Astyanax mexicanus: one gene and its partner. The protein of the gene in region 1 interacts with the protein of each later gene in a pairwise test. Links are inferred from orthologs where the notes say so. Each region holds a gene or a part of one and is shown on either strand. Other genes may lie near its edges. The genes, in order: ccdc57 and tmem100a.

Region 1 (9,560 bases):
TAATCTTTCCACTGCCTCAGCTACAAGTGTGCACTGCATGTTCTTATGCCTTTGGAAGAGCTTTAATTACGATCATGTGCTCAAGATGGCTATTGAATCATTTTATCTTGACAGATACATTCTGTTCCATAGGCCAACCTGAGATTTTTTATCGTCTTTCAGGTCAATCAGCCGATTGCTGTCATTGATTTTGGGCGGTGGCCCAATGCCACATAGAGGCCACCTTTTAATTTTTTTATTAATAGACCAATACTGCAGAAATGGGTCTCCCAACACCGGCCGCCTCACTGCCCGTTTTCTAGAGTCATATTTCTGCTTAAAATAGATATATTTTAAACTAAATATAGGGTAAGTTGTTATTTTAAAAATAACAACAATAATCTAACACTTCGACTCATTTCCATGGTCTGAACAGGTGATTTGTCTGACCATGATACACGTTCCCACTGTGTGATAGTCCATCCCAGACGCCTCCGATCCCAGAGAAGCTGCTGTCTGGAACGCCTTAATATTAACCCAAAATTGTCTCTCTTACAACTTTTGTTTGGAGTGTGGAGCAGGCCAGAATTGCAAGAATGGATGTTTGTTAACAAATTAAATAAATTTGACCAGAAAAAAACATAAGAAATCTTGGATTAATACTGTCTGGAATGAAATAAAGATAAAAAGGAATTGTACACTATTTTATCGGCAATTTTCTATACTTAATTTTCCCAACTTTGTGGGATTTGGGGTTGTAAATAAATTAATTACAGTCTATCGAACAAAAGAAACAGTATAAATTAAAGATTAAGTACAAGGAATGTTTAAAACTGTATGTATTTACAGGCCAAAAACAGAAAAAAGTTTAAGTGGCAAGTGTGCATTTTAAATCCACTAGGCTGAGCCCACCCTTTAAGAACTTAGTATGTAAAGAAGGGATAAGGTGCTATTTAAAGAGACTACATGGATTACTACGTGTGCAGGGGAAAGATTAAAACGGATTAAAGTCTAGCACCTCGTTTTAGATTTGAAACCACAACTTTGGCCAGTAATCATTCATGGGCCATCAGCGCTATTGTATTTATTACATGTTGAATTGTCTGTGGCACACAGTGTTGCTTGTGTACTGTACAGTATAACGTGTGTCAGTTAGGTATACTGTAAAGAACTGTCTGTGGCTAAGCTGTCCTTGAGTGAGCATGAGAACACATAATATGTCCATTGTTATTGTGTTTTAAATGTAGGTGTATGTCCTGTTTGTCTCAGTTAATCCAGATTTGTGTAACAGGTACTCTGTCTGGGGTAGATGAGAGTGAAGCACAGATAGTACTGTTTTTTTTTTTTTTTTTTTTGAGAGATAAGTATGATTTTAAACATGGGATCATATTCACACAGATGAATGTATACCTTATAGCAATGTTTCCAAGAGCAAACCTTGGAGTATTGGGGTGTTTAATGTGTTCACCCCTCTCAACACACATGATTTAACTCATTAGTTGTCCAGCAATTTATGAGCTAAATCAGGTGTGTTACTACAGAAAAAAACGAACCAGGGTTTTGAGGGCCGGGAACATGAAACACTGGTCATACCTCTACACCTCTAGAGCATAGAGAGCTTACGGTATTTTTGTGATGTATTAGCTACAGATAGCTGTTTAAAAAAAAGTCACCTTTGGTACTGGTACCAGCATTTTTATTGATGTGTGATTGACTGTGTGGATGTGATAAACTGTTAGTTTTATTTTATTGCACATTACTTATTTCATTTTTTTTCTGTACCAACTTAAATAACTTTGGGACATCAGTTATGGCAGCTGTGTAGTTATCTTCTTCAAAGTGTAGTATTTAAACATGACATGATTTGTAGTTAATTTTGTTGTTAGTTGAAGATGTCATCCGTTATACACTATATATCTATTTGTTTGTGGACAACAAATTCTTATGAATGCATTCAGCTACTTTAAGCTGCACACATTGCTGACACAGAGGTGCAAATGCACTCATACACAACTTGTCTAGACCATGTAGAGAAGTACTGCCAATAGATTTTAACTTTCAGATAACTTGAATCTGCTGGCGCTATGCCTAATGCCCACCACCCTTCTGTTCTCTGGAGTAGTGGTGCTTTAACCAGTACTAAGGTGAGGGTGGGGACAATCCAATTTCCTGACCTCACTAATGCTTGTGTCACTGAATGCAATCAAATCCTCACAGCAGTGTTCCAAAATCTAGTGGAATGCCTTTTCTGAGCAGTACAGACAGCTACAAACAAAAACCAGCAAAAGGCAGATAATAAGATAAGATTTCAGAAGAAACAATAAGGGTGTCCCAAAACGTTTGTTCTTATAGTGCATTTGTCACTCTTCAAGACAACTCTGCACTAAAGGTATGTTAAATACTTGGTATTTTTCAGAGTTTTTTTGTATCAGCCAAGAGACATTTCACTGGTCACCAGTATGTTTGGTGTGACTTTTATTTGCTAACCAGCAGAGTGTACATGGTGTTCTTTGTGTATGCTTTAAAAAATGCGATTGGCTGTGCCTTACACCTGGATTATTTTACACAAAACCTATAGATTGGAGTTTATTTTAGAAATAAATATACTTCTGCATTCACTTGTGGACATCTTATTTTTACATTTCTGTGTAGCTTTATACATGCTCTATTTACATCTGGCACCCTGAGTGGCAAGGATGTTTACAAGTAAAAGTCAAGTCTCATGTCCTTCCAGTTGTAATGAACTATCTATTGTCAGTTGCTCTACAGACTGCTAAGAATATTGCAAAGCTGTATCTTTAAGAATAAAAAAATCAAAGCATTAACTGTGTTATAAACAACATGGAGCATAAATGAGAATGTTATTTATAGTAATAAGGTCTGAGTGATAATGCTGATAATTCTATGTGTAGAAAATCTAATATAATCAAATTTTTATTTCTGATTACAAAGAGGGTAACTTTGCAGTCATCGCTTCTTTATTTGGTGCTTTCGTGTTTAAAATTCTTATATCTAAACATATTACAATAGATACAGCAGCAGCTGCAGGTTGCAGTAATGTTTTCCAGGGTGAGAATTATACAATGACAATTGGGTGATGTTTTTTTTTTCAGGGTGTAAACCAGTAAAACACAGTTGTACAATCCTTACAGCATCTTTCTTGCTTACTATAATGTCTACAGTACACAAATGAAAAACCCATTACACCAGCTAATGCAGCACATATCACATAATATCATTAATAGTCTGGGGTCCAAAACAACATATTATACAGCAAATTTAAAAGCTAGCCAAAACACACAATGCTCTTGTTACCATACACAATCTAGAGCTGTACCTGTTAACGTTTAAGGCATAGGCCACCCAACAATCTAAATCTGAGGGTCTTGAAAGTGTTAGACAGTAAACAGTTTTGCTTTTATTTTCACATGTTGCAATGTTAAGATTTTATTTGCAAGTTAATTTTTGTGTAAATATTGTTTAAAATCCAATATTCACAAATTTACTGTAAAGCCTTTAAATGTATTTTGGTGTATTTTGTAATTTTGAAAATGGCCTTAGTTTTTTTTCAGTGGTATTATAAAGACTTAAAAAGTCTTACATTTAACTTCCTTATACCTGCAGAGTGCTCATGTATGAGTAGGTAATTTCTTACTACTAAGCCACAAAGTTTTTAGTTTCATAACATTTTTATCCCACCTTAATATGGCATACGTGTTACACTGAGTCTGTACTAATCTTAAGTGCTTTAAGAGTTTATTTCTGCTTATGTTGTGCAAAGATTTCTGTCCACACAAAACTACACCTGTATTCTTATATGAATGTTCTGTTTCACCTTAAAAGCTAAATATGTTAAATTTAAAGCCTGAGCGACGCCACAGCAGTATTTAAGGTGGAATCGTAAATTCAAACAATCAAAATCTTCACGTGAGGACAAAAATGGTGTTTGAAAGGACTAGATAGCAGCTACTTACTCTTAAGTGCAGATACTGCCTTAATGAAGACCCAGAGCAGGACTTTTCTCTCGTTTGTCTCAGTTTCTCTGTGGTGTTTATGTTGCTAGTATGTTACGTGCAGAGCGCGCGGTGGACTATAGGCTGAGAAATTGGCTGTGTCCCTAATAGCGTGCCTCTTTAAATCGCGCGCCCTTATAAAACTCTCGCCCAATTGCACTGCGTGTTGTTGACATCACCAGAGGGTAGACTCTTTAGGTGAACAGCAGCAAGCGGAGGTGATTTGGGACGGAAACTAATCGTTAAAAAAGATGGTGGATGCTACCTAGACATGTACTTGAGTAAACGTTCAAGTGCTCTTTGTTCTATCTTCACTGTTGAAGATTCAAATACAATTTAAATAAGATTTTAATCACTGTTTAAAATATTTTTGCAGTGCTCTGTGCCCTTTAGAGGGGTTCGGTCTTCTCATAGATTCAAGAACAGTTTTTTAAAAAGTTGTTTGAATTTTTTTTAAAGATTTAAATATTTGGTAGTGATTAGAATCAGTGTTCAAAATGATTTTATCTCCAGTAGAAGCAAAGTATAGTTTGAATCAGGTTTTTAAACATGATCTGGAGCTATTGAAAAGAGATGAGTATTCTGAAAAGCAGTTCAAATCTTTTGCAAATGTGATTCAGGTCTTTTTAAAGTAGTACAAATCATTAAAAAAGAAGATTCCTATATTTTGTAAAGTAGTCAGTTTAAGTTTTTTTTGTTTTTGACAGACACTGTTTGACAAGTGTTTTTTTTTTCCTTTCTTTCAACAGAAAAACTTTTAGTTGAAAAATGATGCCACCTACAGGTATGATTGAAAGTTTACTTCTCCATCCATCGACACGAATTTTATTGCACTATTTAAGCTTTTAATTATTAATAGAACTATGTTTTTCTTGGTATGAAAGAATGATTGTTTTTTAGCAGGGTTGTTGATATAAACAAAAAATAATCTGGATAAGATTCAATTGTTAAAAGACGATTAAACAAATTTATTAGAAGTGCTGTATATTTACTTTTGTATATTTATGAAGAAAATGGATGGTGTTGTTTTCATTGTAAAAACTCAGATTTAACAAGTCAAAACAGCTGAATAAAACACTTCAAATGGACTCTTGAACTCATATTCCAAATTACCTGAATTCACCACTAGAGGGCAGACAGGGCACAGGTTTACCTTCAGAAAAGTATAATTTCTCCATAAGTATAATTTATAATTTATATAAGTTCATCTAATATCTTATCCCAAAGCAATAATGCCCACAAACTTTACTAGCAATTCCAAATTATATTTAACTAGATTATTTTTCCCCCGCCACACGTACAAGAACAACAAATCTATGGTGCAGCTTTATGGGGAAAAAGAAATTAAATAAAATAAAACCCAAAGACATCCGTTAATACAAGTATTTCATTTATTTACACATGTACACAAAAAGGTGCACAAATACAGTGATACAAATTCTAGTAGGGCTCATAGATTGGCATGACTTCACAAGACCAATAGTGTGGAGCCCAAAATGGCCATGGGCTTCAAAGACCTGCGTGACGCTATTCACCGATTCCGGCCTGAGACATCTGCTCTCTTCAGATGTAACGGGTACATTAGAAGGAAGTATGAGCAAGGCCCATACGCATCAGACATCTCAATGCAAGGACACTGATCAAAAAGCAGCTCCCTCCAATCCACCGTTATTAATTAGGATGTCAAAGTGGCGAAACAATAAGAGCAGCTCAGATCAGAACACTTTCCCTGAGAAGCTTGATGCATAGAACCCAGAATTACCTTTTGGGTACATCTGTTGAGCCACATCAGTGCTGGAACATTCTTTAGACAGGATTCCCTCCTCACCTTTCACACTGCTGGACTGCTTTGAGGCAGCATCATCTCACTAAAGACAACCTCAGCATGGGTTGACTTTAGTCAAAAAAGCATCTACAAACAATCAAGCTGAAACTTGCATGTTCCTTCCCCTGCCCTTCTGAAACCTCCAATATGCTCCTTTCAAGTTTTAAAATCAGGCTTTAGATTTATACTTGGCAATCCTTCTGATGTCCAGCACTTTATTTTATTGGCATTGTGCAAAATAAGAAAACCCCTAATGCTCCAGGACAGTTTGTGATTTGTGGCTAGTTCATAGTCTCTATTAAGTGAAAATGAAAAACATTTACATGGATATATTACAATTTTCACAGCTTGGAAATAGAAAAAAGTGATACAACAAGGGAGAGGCAGTAATATACAGCAGTTAAGAAAGCTAGACAGGATGGTGAGCTTCACATGGTCCTGCAGAACACATGATGCAGTGACGGATTAGTTTCATAACTAAGAAACAATGAGATTTTGGCCCCTTAGCGGTCTGTCCATACGAAAACACCAGTAAGACCATGCAATAGGAACCCATTTTATACCACCCACCAGTTAAAGAAAGGGCTATCAAAATATAATAAAATAATTATAATTGGTCAGATAAAATTATAACAAGCCCAGATATGGAACATGTTATAAGAAAGGAACTTTGAAATGGGAAAGCTTAAAAAATACAGTACAACAAAAAGGAATCAGTTAAACAAGTTAAATACATTAGCTTAGGGAAAAACCCTTAAAACACGTAATGGACGGAAAAGGTTATGAAAAGCAGTGCAGATGTACAGACAACATACTAGTATGAAGAAAGACAACAGTGTCGAGGACACTGGAGTTTGGCTGGCTGATGCAGTCTCTGCTGGGTCTGTCTATAAACATTTCCTTTGATAGAAGTGATCACAAATCTGTGTGTGTGTGTGTGTACATAGTGTATTTACCAGAGTGAAAACAGAGAGAGCAAAGACAGGAGAAGAGAAGAGAAGAGAAGAGAGAGAGAGCAAGGAGACCTTTAAAGAGGTCAAGTTGGTTCTGAACCATTTTGGTTATGTCGATTGAAGAGAGACTGATAGCCCTGCTTATCCGCTTTTGAACAGCAGAGCCATCAATCAGCCGCGTACAGATGGGTTGACCACTGCACTCCGTATTGCAGAGTGGAGGCTTCTGGGACATGAAGAGTGAATCTTAAACAAGAAAAACAGAATCCAAAAATCACACATTCTGTGCATTTCCAGGATCACAATTAAAGAACGGTATGATTTGATTGCAATAAAATGCAAACAGAAATCTGAGATATGTAATGTGTAAAACTCACCAGGTGCTGCTGCCATCACACAAGCACATTGCGAGCAGCTACTTGCCGTGATGATCGAAGGGAATGCTATTCTGAGGTGAAGAAAGAGAACATTATAGCACCCTTTCTCGTTCCATGACTGATTTGTAGGTGGGCGGTTCGTCAGAGAAGAGTTGTGTAATAGTGAAAAGCATTCTGTATATGTATTACTGTATACAAATGACATCTGGTGTGTGTACAGCAATGGATTATGACTAATTCTGACATCAGATATAATCTGATACACAATTCCTATGTTTGCAACAAAGATGCCTATAAAGCAAAATTTGTCCAACAAATGATTGACATTTACTAAAATATGCAGTGATATCAAACACTGCTGTGACAAATTCTGGCACATTTGTTATAATTATTATAAAGTGCAATAAAAAAAAGAGCATTCTTGCATTTCAAAACATTATATACATGATAAGGCATATTTAGACACAGTCAGATGTTAGGTTTCCTTCATTTATTTTCGTTTATTAAGGGTTTTTCTAAATGCTGAAGCCTTTAGACAGGCCTTGTGCGTGTGCCAGGGCCTTCTGTGGGCTTTTCAGGAGCAGGGCTAGCCTGTACCTGTGACGTGGACATGCGGGAGGTGTCTTGTCGGCCGGTCAGGTCAGAAGAGGACACATTAACTGGGGCCCCGCGGTGAAGCCGCATGCTGACTTTACGCTCCCTCTCCATGCCGGTTACAGGTCGCGGTGAGGATGTGTTTGCTGTCAAATAAGAGATTAGAAAAATTAGTAGGTGTAGTACTATACTGCACACACTCACCAACCTGATACCATTGTTTTTTCTCGCCCTTAAACTAAGCTGTTACCAATAAAAAAAATAAAAAAAAACTCCAAATTAACTTTGCTTAATAAACACAATAATGATGTAGGAATTGTAAGAAGCCTAGAATACTGGCATGTTGTCTTGGGTTCTACGAGTTAAACATTAACAGGACGGACGAAGCTAATCGATAATATCAAAATATACCTTTTTCACTTTCAGTATTTAGTCATTGGTTGGCATTCGACTGAGACTGCATACCTCTAATATTACAGATTCAGCAATACAGTTCACAATGCATGGTAAGCGTGAAAAAGTATCTGTGTTTACCTGTGTGTGAGGTTGGAGTAAGGGGCGTTGGGGGTGCACCATCCTGTGTGGCTCGGGGTCTGCCTGAGGCTGATGGAATGCCTCTAGGGGCTGGATTCCTGCTGTGCCTCAACCTTTCCTCCCGGTCTCTCCTCTCTCTTTCAGCCTCCTCTGCTGCACGGTTAGCACCCTTAGTGAGAGAGTTACAACAGACCGTCTTAAAACGCTGTACAGGCACTACTGTACTGAACACAGTTTAATAAATGCTCTGCTCTTCATTCACAAAAAGCAGAAAATGATTATTAGTACAAATTACTTACAAACTTAAGCATGTTCCAATCAAACACATAGTCGTATGAGAAACCCTGTCTGTGGAACAGATTCCTGAAGAGCTGCCTCAGGTACGAGTAGTCAGGCTTGTCATCAAATCGCAGTGAGCGGCAGAAGTTGAGGTATGTGGCAAATTCAGCTGGAGGAAGGCAAACATAAATCACTCAGTGATTTGCACATTTTAACAGCTTTAATACAGAACGTCTTTCTTTTAAACAATGAATAACGCTGCATTCCATTTAACTCGGAAGTTGAATGACAGCTGGAAATTATGTCATTACTGGTTTGTCAATCTTTTACCAGTGTTTTATGACTAATCCAACCACAATATTTTCACATTTTAACGTCACAGATTAGAGATGCCAGTTGATACCATATTACACTAGTATTCTAAGTATTTTGCACATCTAAATATCAAATGAAGCATGGCTCGATAGGTAGCTAGCTGGATTAGAGTCCTTGCTAACCAGTCACGCAATAAAGAGGGTGACCGCATGAGTGGCCACTTACTCAGACAAACTCATCATTAATCTCTCTGAGTGAAGCGTGAGATGGGTGAAAATTAAGTGCTCCAATTGGCCAAAATCGCTTCAATTATGCACAGATGTCTGTGGCTGAGTAGCAGAATAAACCATAGTGAAAACCTGGTGCAAGCTTAATTGAAACTTATTGAAGCGATTTACTTTTACTACTGTTCATATGCAGTGCAGCCATCTTGAATATTGAACCCTGTTAAACTTATAAAGTAGTAGGAATTTTCACTATTGAGGGCATTACAGCTTAAATTTCCGACTGGAAAGTTAAAATGGAATGCAGCATCAGACATGCAGGTTCTAAAGAGCAGCATCAGAGTCAATACATACATGGGTAGCCCTTGCAAAGAACTTCAATAGGAGTAGACATTTTCTTCTCGCTGATGCGTTCGTATTTTTGTCTCTTTGTGGCAGCTTTCAGACCCTGCCATGGCAGTGAGCCC
Region 2 (9,433 bases), on another chromosome or scaffold:
TTCCCTCTCCGCTGCCGCTCCCTCTCTGCTCCCACTCTTTCTACACTCCCTTTCCAATGGCTCTCTGCTTTCTCTCCACACCCTCTCTGTTTCTACTCCATCTCCACTCCTTCTTTATGTCAACTCCCTCTCTGCTCCATTTTTATTGCCTCTCTGCTCCCTCTCCCTCTCTGCTCCCTGCTGCCTCTCAATTTCCTCTCTGCTCCCTTTACACTCCTTCTCTGATGCCTCTCCCTTTCTGCTTCCTTGCCGCTCCTCACTCCCTCTCCATTCCCTGTCCGCTTCTTCTCTGCTCCTCGCTCCCTCTCCGTTTCCTCTGCCTCAGCGCTCCCTCTCCACTTCTGCTTCATCTCTGCTCCCTTTTGCTGTCCACTCCCTCTTTCTCTCCACTCCCAGTGAACTCCCTCTCTGCTCTCTCTCCACTTTCTCTCTGCTCCCCACACTCTCTATTCACTTTCCACATTTCCACTTTGCTCCCTCTCCATCTCTGTTCCCACTCCATCTTTACTCCTTCATCCTGTCCACTCCCTCACCGCTCCCACTCTGCTTCCTCTCCATTGCCTCTCTGCTCCCTCTCCCTCTCTGCTCCTCACTCCCTCTCCATTCTGTTTCTGCTCTCGCTCTGCTCCCTCTCTCTTCTCCAGCTCAGCTTCCTCTCCACTTTTGCTCCATCTCTGCTCCCTGTTGCTGTCCACTCCCTCTTCCTCTGCTCCGAGTAAACTCCCTCTCCGATTCCTCTTAATTTCCTCTCTGCTACCTCTGCCTCTTTGCTCCTTCTCTGCATCCCGCTTCCTCTCCTTCTCCATTTCCTCTCCTCTTGCTCTTTTCTCCCAACTCCATTTCCTCTCTGCTCCGACTCTGCTCCATTTCCTTCTCTGGTCTATTCCACTCCTTCTCCACTCTCTATCACTCTCAGCACCCACTCTCACCTCTCACTCTGCTCCCCGCTCCGCCTCCTCTCCCTCTCTGCTTCCTCTCTGCTCCCCGCTTCCTCTCCATTCCCTCTCTGCCCCCTCTCCGTTCCGCTTTGCTCCCTCTCTGCTCCCCTTTCCCTCTACAATCTCTCTATTTCAATCCTTCTCCACTCTCTATCACTCTCAGCTCCCGCTCCCTTTCTGCTCCCACTCCCGTTCCAATCGCTCTCACCCTCTCCCTCTCTGCTCCCCGCTCCGCCTCCTCTCCCTCTCTGCTCCCCGCTCCCTCTCCATTCCCTCTCTGCTCCCTCGCCCTCTCTGCTCCCTTCCCCTCTCTGCCTCCTTCCCCTCTCTGCTCCGTCCCCCTTTCGCTCCCTCTCCATTCTCTCCCCCTCTCTGCTCCCTCTCCCTTTCTGCTCCCACTCCCGTTCCAATCGCTCTCACCCTCTCCCTCTCTGCTCCCCGCTCCGCCTCCTCTCCCTCTCTGCTCCCCGCTCCCTCTCCATTCCCTCTCTGCTCCCTCGCCCTCTCTGCTCCCTTCCCCTCTCTGCCTCCTTCCCCTCTCTGCTCCGTCCCCCTTTCGCTCCCTCTCCATTCTCTCCCCCTCTCTGCTCCCTCTCCGCTCCCTCTCCCTCTGCTCCCGCTAAGCTCCCTCTCCAATTCCTCTATCTCTCTGCTTCCTCTCTGCTCCCTCTCCCTCTCTGCTCCCGCTGCGCTCCCTCTCCAATTTCTCTCCATCTCTGCTTCCTCTCTGCTCCCTCTCCCTCTTCACTGCCTCTCCATCTTCACCTCCTCCCCACTCTCTCTCTGCTCCCTTTCCACTGCCTCTCGTCCACTATTGCTCTGGCTTTGTCATATTTTTCCATTGCGATACATCGTGTCAAGAGGCATAGATACACCCCAGTCACACTCTACATCCGTCACTCACTCACTATGCACAAGCAGATATACAATATCCTGATTTGTAGCCATCAGGGAGCCACTATCAATATGCATGAAAACCATGGGGGTAAGTGCACGCTTTCCCAGAACCTATACACTGCAGTATGAGAGCCTATCAGAGCAATCTGGGCGATTTTCAATCTTAAATCGAATATTAAATCAACCAAAAGCGGAAGACAACTCAACGCTCATGTATAGGATGCAAACAATTCAACACTTGCACAACAGTAACAGTGATCCTGCCATATCATGAAGTATAAAACAGATTTTTTTACAATAAAAAGACACAATACAGGCTTATAATAACACCAAAATTAAAATTACTATCATAATGTGAAATCATCTGTGTCATAATATGATCTATTACATATAATAAACTGAAAATAAAATTAACAACACAGATAAAAGTATTGGAACATTTGTTTACAATTGTTTTTCCAAAACCAATGGTGTTAAAAAAGAGTTTATCCTGCTTTTGTTTGAGTAAAAGTCTGCCCAGGGAAGCTTTTCTACTAGATTCTTAAACTTTGCTGTGATGATTTGATTGCATTCAGTGACAAGAGCATTAGCAAGGTCAGGACTCATCTTAATTCTGGATGAAGCACCATCATTCCAGAGAACATAAGTGCACTAAAACCCTTTTCATTTTATACCCATGCCTGGCATTAGGCATAGTTCAATGTTTATCTGTTTTTAGAAAAGATGTCTGCAAACATTTGCGTGTCGTGTTTTTGGTGTTGTGTGGACCCAGGATATCAATTTGCAATAAAAAATAAATCAAGCTGAGTGCAAAACTCAATATTATGATATGACAATATCATTTTGAATTTTAGTTAGAATAAAAGTCACATATCCGTCAGACATCAAGCTCCAAAGTTAGACTGTAGATATTTAATTTAGGTATTTTAACGTTTTTTACATTACATTTGCTACAGTTACAGGTAGTCAGCATACCTAATGAAATAAGAACAGCCTAAATGTTGATATTTTACATCAATATGACACTGAATGACGCGTGAGATGTTTTGAAGATTTTTGTCATATTTTTGTCCTCCAACACAGGATTGATATCAAAATGCAAACTTAGTTTACTAAAAACCATATTTTCCAAACAGACAACAATCATCAATGATTTTTGCGCTACAATCATTAGCAGACGTTTGGCCGACGTTGAATTTTAGTCACCATGACTACTATCTTACCTTGACATAATTATTTAAACGTTAGTATTAGATATGTCCCTGACGCTGAGTTTTGGTCACCCCAATTTACGACCTACATTTCTGTAGATCAGAGCGTCTACAGACCTGCATAGCGGTGTTTATTCGGTACCGGGTGTCGACATGTGCTACACGTCGAAATGGGCTTCTCAAAACAAGTGCGCATGCGCGGACCCAAATGTATTTTATATTCCCATGTTTTGTGGTAGTTCTACTGAATTTTAGGTGGTGCATATTCAACAACCTTAATCCCTCCTCTGTCATTATGTATTTTTTTTTGTAGAATGGAGTGTAAATGGCAGTAAATAATAATAATAATAATAATAATAATAATAATAACAAGTAATAATCGAGCAATGTAATACAAATACAAAATATAATCACGCCTATTCCCTTTTAACTGTATCCTTATATATTAATTAATTCTTTTAAAATATGGTGCTTTTCTGGGATTTTTACCTTTAAATATACACTAGGGTAGCACAGTTTGACAGGGTAGCACAAATCGACAGAACACCGGTTACAGAGCTCAAGAAAACAACTTCTAACAAACGGAACCGCGAGCGAGAGGACAGAGGTGGGTAACAGACTCCTAAGAGAGTGTTGGTTCCAATGTGTGTGTGTGTGTGTGTCATTTACCTGCTCAGCGTTTTCAGCTCCTCTCAGGAAGTCTCCATCCTGATCTTCACTTACTTCTGAACTGAACTGTGGAGAAACTTGAAGTCCCCTCATAAAGAGAAAGAAAGAGAGAGAGAGGGAGAGAGGGGGGAGAGAGGGAGGGAGGGAGGGCTAGTGTGTCTTAGTAAGTGTGTGAGGGAGGGAAGGAGTGTGTGAGAGAACGGTGTGGGTGAGAGAGAGAGAGAGAGAGAGAGAGAGAGAGAGAGAGAGAGAGAGAGAGACAGAGAGAGTGAAAGAGAGTGTGTCGGGGGTGTAAGAGGTTGTAGTAGAATAAAAAAAAAGACCGCGGTCACGCCATCTGCACTTAGAAAACGCTCGGTCGCGCTATCTACACCGAAAACTGGAGTGCGCGTCTAAACCGTGTTTTACGGTTGCCGCGTGCACAGCGCACCCGGAGGAGCAGCGACTGGCGCTTCTCGTGCAGAGACTGAACATGGATCAGAAACTAGTTTTACACCTAAATAAACATGATTTAACGAGGTCTAATCCACAAATATACTCCAGAAAGACCACTGCTTATCTGTAGAACAGTGTAACGTTTTGGAAATGTTTGGAGAGCTATTAAATAAGCAAATCGAATTGTTATCATATCACAGCAATAAATTCTTAGAGATCTTATTCTCATGTATCCCAGATACATGTTTGAAGTGATATACATGGGTGTGGTAGTGGGGGGAAAAGTGGACCTGACTACCCAGGGCCCGAGTAGGGAGAAGGGCCCATGAAAATCCAGATTTTTTTTTTTCGCTCACCTTCCTTGTATACTGGCATGGATAGGGGCCCACTGACATTGAGAGTGTACAGGGCCCAGCATTTGCTGCTACACCCCTGGTGATATACACCAGATTTCGGAGTCCCATAAAACCAGCAAATCAAATTGTTATCCAATGCCACTGAGACATTCTTGAAGAACACATTACATACTATTAGTGACGTGAGTAACAAAGGATATTACTGTATCATTTTGGATTAATTGGATAATTTGATTTACTAGTTTTATAGGACTCGGAAATCTGGTTTATGCACACCGAACAGACATTTTTCCTAAGTTTGGTATTCAATTACTCCAAAAAGATACAGTAATATCACTCGGTACTCATGTCATTAATAGTATGGAATGTGTTCTTTAGGACTGTCTTGGTGCCATTGGATAACAATTTGGTTTGCTGGTTTTATAGGACTCTGAAATGTGGTTTATGCACAACCGAATAGACATTTTTTCTAAGTTTGGTATCCAATTACTCCAAAATTTTACAGTAATATCAATAGTTACTCATGTCATTACTGATATGGAATGGGTTCTTCAAAACTGTCTTGGTGCCATTGGATAACAATTTGATTCGCTGGTTTTATAGGACTCTGAAATGTGGTTTATGCACAACCGAATAGACATTTTTCCTAAGTTTGGTATTCAATTACTCCAAAATGATACAGTAATATCACTTGATACTTGTGTCAATAATAGTATACAATGTATTTTTAAGACCTTATTAGTGGCATTGGATAACAATTTTGATTTGCTGGTTTAATAGGACTCTAAAATCTGGTTTATGCAAAAGTAAATCAACATTTTTCCTATATTTGGTATTTAATTACTCCAAAATGATACAGTAATATTCTTTGTTACTCATTTTATTAATAGTATGGAATGTGTTCTTCAAGACTGTCTTGGTGCCATTGGATAACAATTTGATTTGCTGGTTTTATAGGACTCTGAAATGTGGTTTATGCACAACCGAATAGACATTTTTCCTAAGTTTGGTATTCAATTACTCCAAAATGATACAGTAATATCACTTGATACTTGTGTCAATAATAGTATAGAATGTATTTTAAGACCTTATTAGTGGCATTAGATAACAATTTTGATTTGCTGGCTTTATAGGACTCTGAAATCTGGTTTATGCAAAAGTAAATCAACATTTTTCCTATATTTGGTATTTAATTACTTAAACATAATACAGTAATATCACTTGATACTTGTGTCAATAATAGTATAGAATGTATTTTTCAAGATATTATTAGTGGCATTGGATAACAATTTGATTTGCTGGTTTTATAGGACTCTGAAATGTGGTTTATGCACAACCGAATAGACATTTTTTTTAAGTTTGGTATCCAATTACTTCAAAAGGATACAGTGAAATTACTTGTTACTCTTGTCTTTAATAATGTTGAATGTGTTCTTCAAGACTGTCTTAGTGGCATTTGGTCACAATTTGATTTGCTGGTTTTACAGGATTCTGAAATCTGGTTTATGTAAAAGAACATAGACATTTTTTCTAAGTTTGTATCCCATTACTCCAAAATTATACGGTAATATCACTTGTTACTCAAGTCCTTGAAAGTATAGAATGTGTTCTTCAAGACTGTCTTGGTGGCAATGGATAAGAATTTGATTTGGTGGTTTTACAGGACTCTGAAATGTGGTTTATGCACAACCGAATAGACATTTTTCCTAAGTTTGGTATCCAATTACTCCAGCATAAAACAGTAATATAATTTCTTACTTATGTCATTAATAGTATGGAATGTGTTCTTTAAGACTGTCTTGGTGGCACTGGATAACAATTTGGTTTGCTGGTTTTATAGGACACCGAAATCAAAAGTAAAAAAAAAAAAAAAGCAAAAGCAAATAGACATTTTTCCTAAGTTTGGTATCCAACTACTCCAAAATAATACAATACAATCACTTGAAATGCATGACATTAATAGTATGGAAGGTATTCTTTAAGGATGTCATGTTTTGATTTAATAACAATTTGATTTTTTTGGTTTTATAGCACTCCGAAATCTTTTTTATACAAAACCGAATAGACATTTTTCCTAAGTTTGGTATCCAATTACTCCAAAATGATACAGTAATATCACTTAAAACATGTATCTGGGATACATGAGAATAAGGTCTTAAAAAATTTAGTGCTGTGATATGATAACAATTTGATTTGTTATTTAATAGCTCTCCAAACATTTTCAAAACGTTCAAAACGGAGTATATTTGTGGATTAGACCTCGTGAAATCTTGTTAATTTAGGTGTAAAACTAGTTTCTGATCCATTTTCAGTCTCTGCACGAGAAGCGCCAGTCGCTGCTCCTCCGGTTGCGCTTTGCACGCAGCTACAGTTGTTTTTCATCCCAGCATCATTTCAAACTTCTGACCCTCTGTCTCAATACAACTTCATATGTGGCCTTTAACCCTTACAGCAAATAATTGCATTACAGCTTTTAATGTAGATAATGAAAAACAACCTTAAAGGACCAATTTGTAATTAATTTTCTGTAGTAAATGATAAAATGATCAGTATGTATCATCAGATAATAAAGAAACATGTTAAGTTAAAGCACTGGCAGCTCTTGCAGCAGCACTTTAGCCAGTATGTCCCTATGTGGACTGTGCAGATCTTGGCTGGTATCTGTTTGTTTTGTCCTCTGACTCCACCTGCTGCTCATTCCCCAACACTTACCCCACCCCTGAGGTGGCCAGCCATCAATCGGTGTTACATCATGGAAGATAGCAAGCAGAGTTCAGCTAAAACCTTAGCTTCTACACAGCCTAGAAAGCCTTTGGCATGTGTAAAAAAAGTTTAGCAACTAAAGAATGAATTAAACAAGAGTGAATATTGGCAGTGAGTTCTAAGGGTACAGTAGATTTCGAGCTTAAAAAGACTACAAGACCGACACAGCGCTGGCAACTTTTCTCCTGAACAGGTAAGCTAATAGGCTAGCTAATTTAGTCAATTAATAGATCTGGGGTGGGTTTCCCGAAAGCTTCGTAAGGCTAAGAACTTCGTTAACTCGTACTTAAGATTGATCGTTAATTAAAGAGTGTTTCCCAAACCCGTGCGTAACTAAAGTACTACGTAAACTCGATCGCAGATTAACGAGTGCTCTCACCCAGTCGTTATTTTTAACGAGCTTCTTTAGGGGATCTCGACTTGCAGTTCAGCACCTTAAACACCAGGGACCGCCAATTTTGTGGAAGAAAAATTATAATTTCCGTGTTTGAAGCAATTATATTACATTACTATTAATTATAATCAATTATATTATTATATAATTATTAATATTATTATATTATATTATATTACTATTAATTATAATCAATTATATTACTATATAATTATTATTATATTATATAATTATTATATTATATTATATTATATTATATTATATTATATTATATTATTTCCCGTGTCTGCGGGTGCTCCGGTTTCCTCCCACAGTCCAAAGAAATTAGTTCAGGCTAATTAGATGTCGGATAAAAATTGCCCCTTAGGTGTGAGTGAATGTGTCTGTGTGTCTGTCTGTGTCTGTCTGCCCTGTGATGGATTGGCATCCTGTCCAGGGTGTATACTGCCTTCAGCCCGATGCCAGCTGGTATAGACTCCAGCCACCAAGCATCGACCCCCCCCCCCCCCCCCCCCGCACCCCTTAACGGATAAAGCGGTTGACGAGTGAGTAAATGAGTGAATAAGTTATATTATATTATATTATATTATATTATATTATATTATATTATATTATATTATATTATATTATATTATATTATATTATAATGCCAACTGTGGCTTGTAGTCTAACTGGGCAATTAAACCCACGAGTAAATTATTTAAATCCAGATTAGCGATGATAGAAGTCTTGACATTAATGCTGCAAGAAATGCAATCAGTCAATTCCTGCAGATGATGCTCACGGTCTAAGCAAAGCTGCAAAGTCACCAAGTTCATCTGGGCAAACTCTGGGGTGTGTCAGCTCGCAAATATCAGTCAAAAGTTGGACACGTCTCATTCCATGTTTTTTTTTTTTTTACATTGTCGATTAATATTAAAACCATGAAAACTAATTGACGCAAATGGAATTAGTAGACAAAAAGGTGCATGGCTTTGACAATCCCCTGACATAAACCCAACTGAGATGGTGATTTAGGTTGAGCTGGAGCTTCACAGTATAAAGTACAAAACATAATTCTGTTGGTTTAAAATGTAATATATATATATATATATATATATATATATATATATATATATATATATATATATATATATATATATATATATATATATACACACACACACACACACAGGAACATATGTATTATTATATTATTTTTATAATATTAAAAATTAGAATAATAATAAATTAATATTACTATCAACATTACTGTTAATAATATTAGTATAATATATATTTATATAATATATATTAACAATAATAGTTTTAAAAATGTAAAAAATAAGTTTAATGTTTTAAAATAGATTAGATTTTCGAGTATTTATTTAGTCATATGTATCTTTAGGAGTATAATGTTGTTAATTACAACACATTTCTACGTTTTTAGGGTGTAATAGTGAATAAATACTGCATATTGGCAGTGTTGAATCGATATTTGTGGATCGATTGAGCGCGCTGTTTCGGGGGAGGAGTCAACAAAGATGTTCTTTAACCTCGTTCGTTAATTTTCACGTTGCGAAGCTCTTTGGGAAACACTCGCAGAACTGGCTCGTTCTTTACACACGTCATTCGTTAGTTCGTTCGTTATCCGCTAAGATTGATCGTTTTCGGGAAACCCACCCCTGGACTATGCTGGCCAACACAATCATGATTTACACGCTAATGTGAACTGTGTTCAGTCACAACGGAGGAGCAGGCATGTCACACCTGATTACTAACTCGGCAGTG

Evidence for each region.
Region 2: the proteins of ccdc57 (region 1) and tmem100a interact in binary tests that used the Homo sapiens proteins (3 or more experiments, as listed by UniProt). The two-hybrid records come from large-scale screens. The link is inferred for Astyanax mexicanus from reciprocal best matches to the Homo sapiens genes CCDC57 and TMEM100.

The regions. Positions count from the first base shown.
Region 1 is NC_064422.1:34,932,953-34,942,512, reverse strand, and holds the start of ccdc57 (coiled-coil domain-containing protein 57), read right to left. Parts: upstream 4,058-9,560; 5' UTR 3,954-4,057; intron 2,594-3,953; exon of another isoform or gene 1-2,593. Other genes in the region: csnk1db (casein kinase I), read right to left, coding at 7,186-7,218, 7,745-7,887, 8,276-8,444, 8,575-8,723, 9,448-9,560. UniProt on the Homo sapiens protein: Pleiotropic regulator of centriole duplication, mitosis, and ciliogenesis. Critical interface between centrosome and microtubule-mediated cellular processes. Centriole duplication protein required for recruitment of CEP63, CEP152, and PLK4 to the centrosome.
Region 2 is NC_064410.1:16,763,602-16,773,034, forward strand, and holds the start of tmem100a (transmembrane protein 100), read right to left. Parts: upstream 3,845-9,433; 5' UTR 3,716-3,844; intron 1,653-3,715; coding exon of another isoform or gene 1,143-1,652; intron 1-1,142. Other genes in the region: octapeptide-repeat protein T2-like, read right to left, coding at 1,143-1,652. UniProt on the Homo sapiens protein: Plays a role during embryonic arterial endothelium differentiation and vascular morphogenesis through the ACVRL1 receptor-dependent signaling pathway upon stimulation by bone morphogenetic proteins, such as GDF2/BMP9 and BMP10.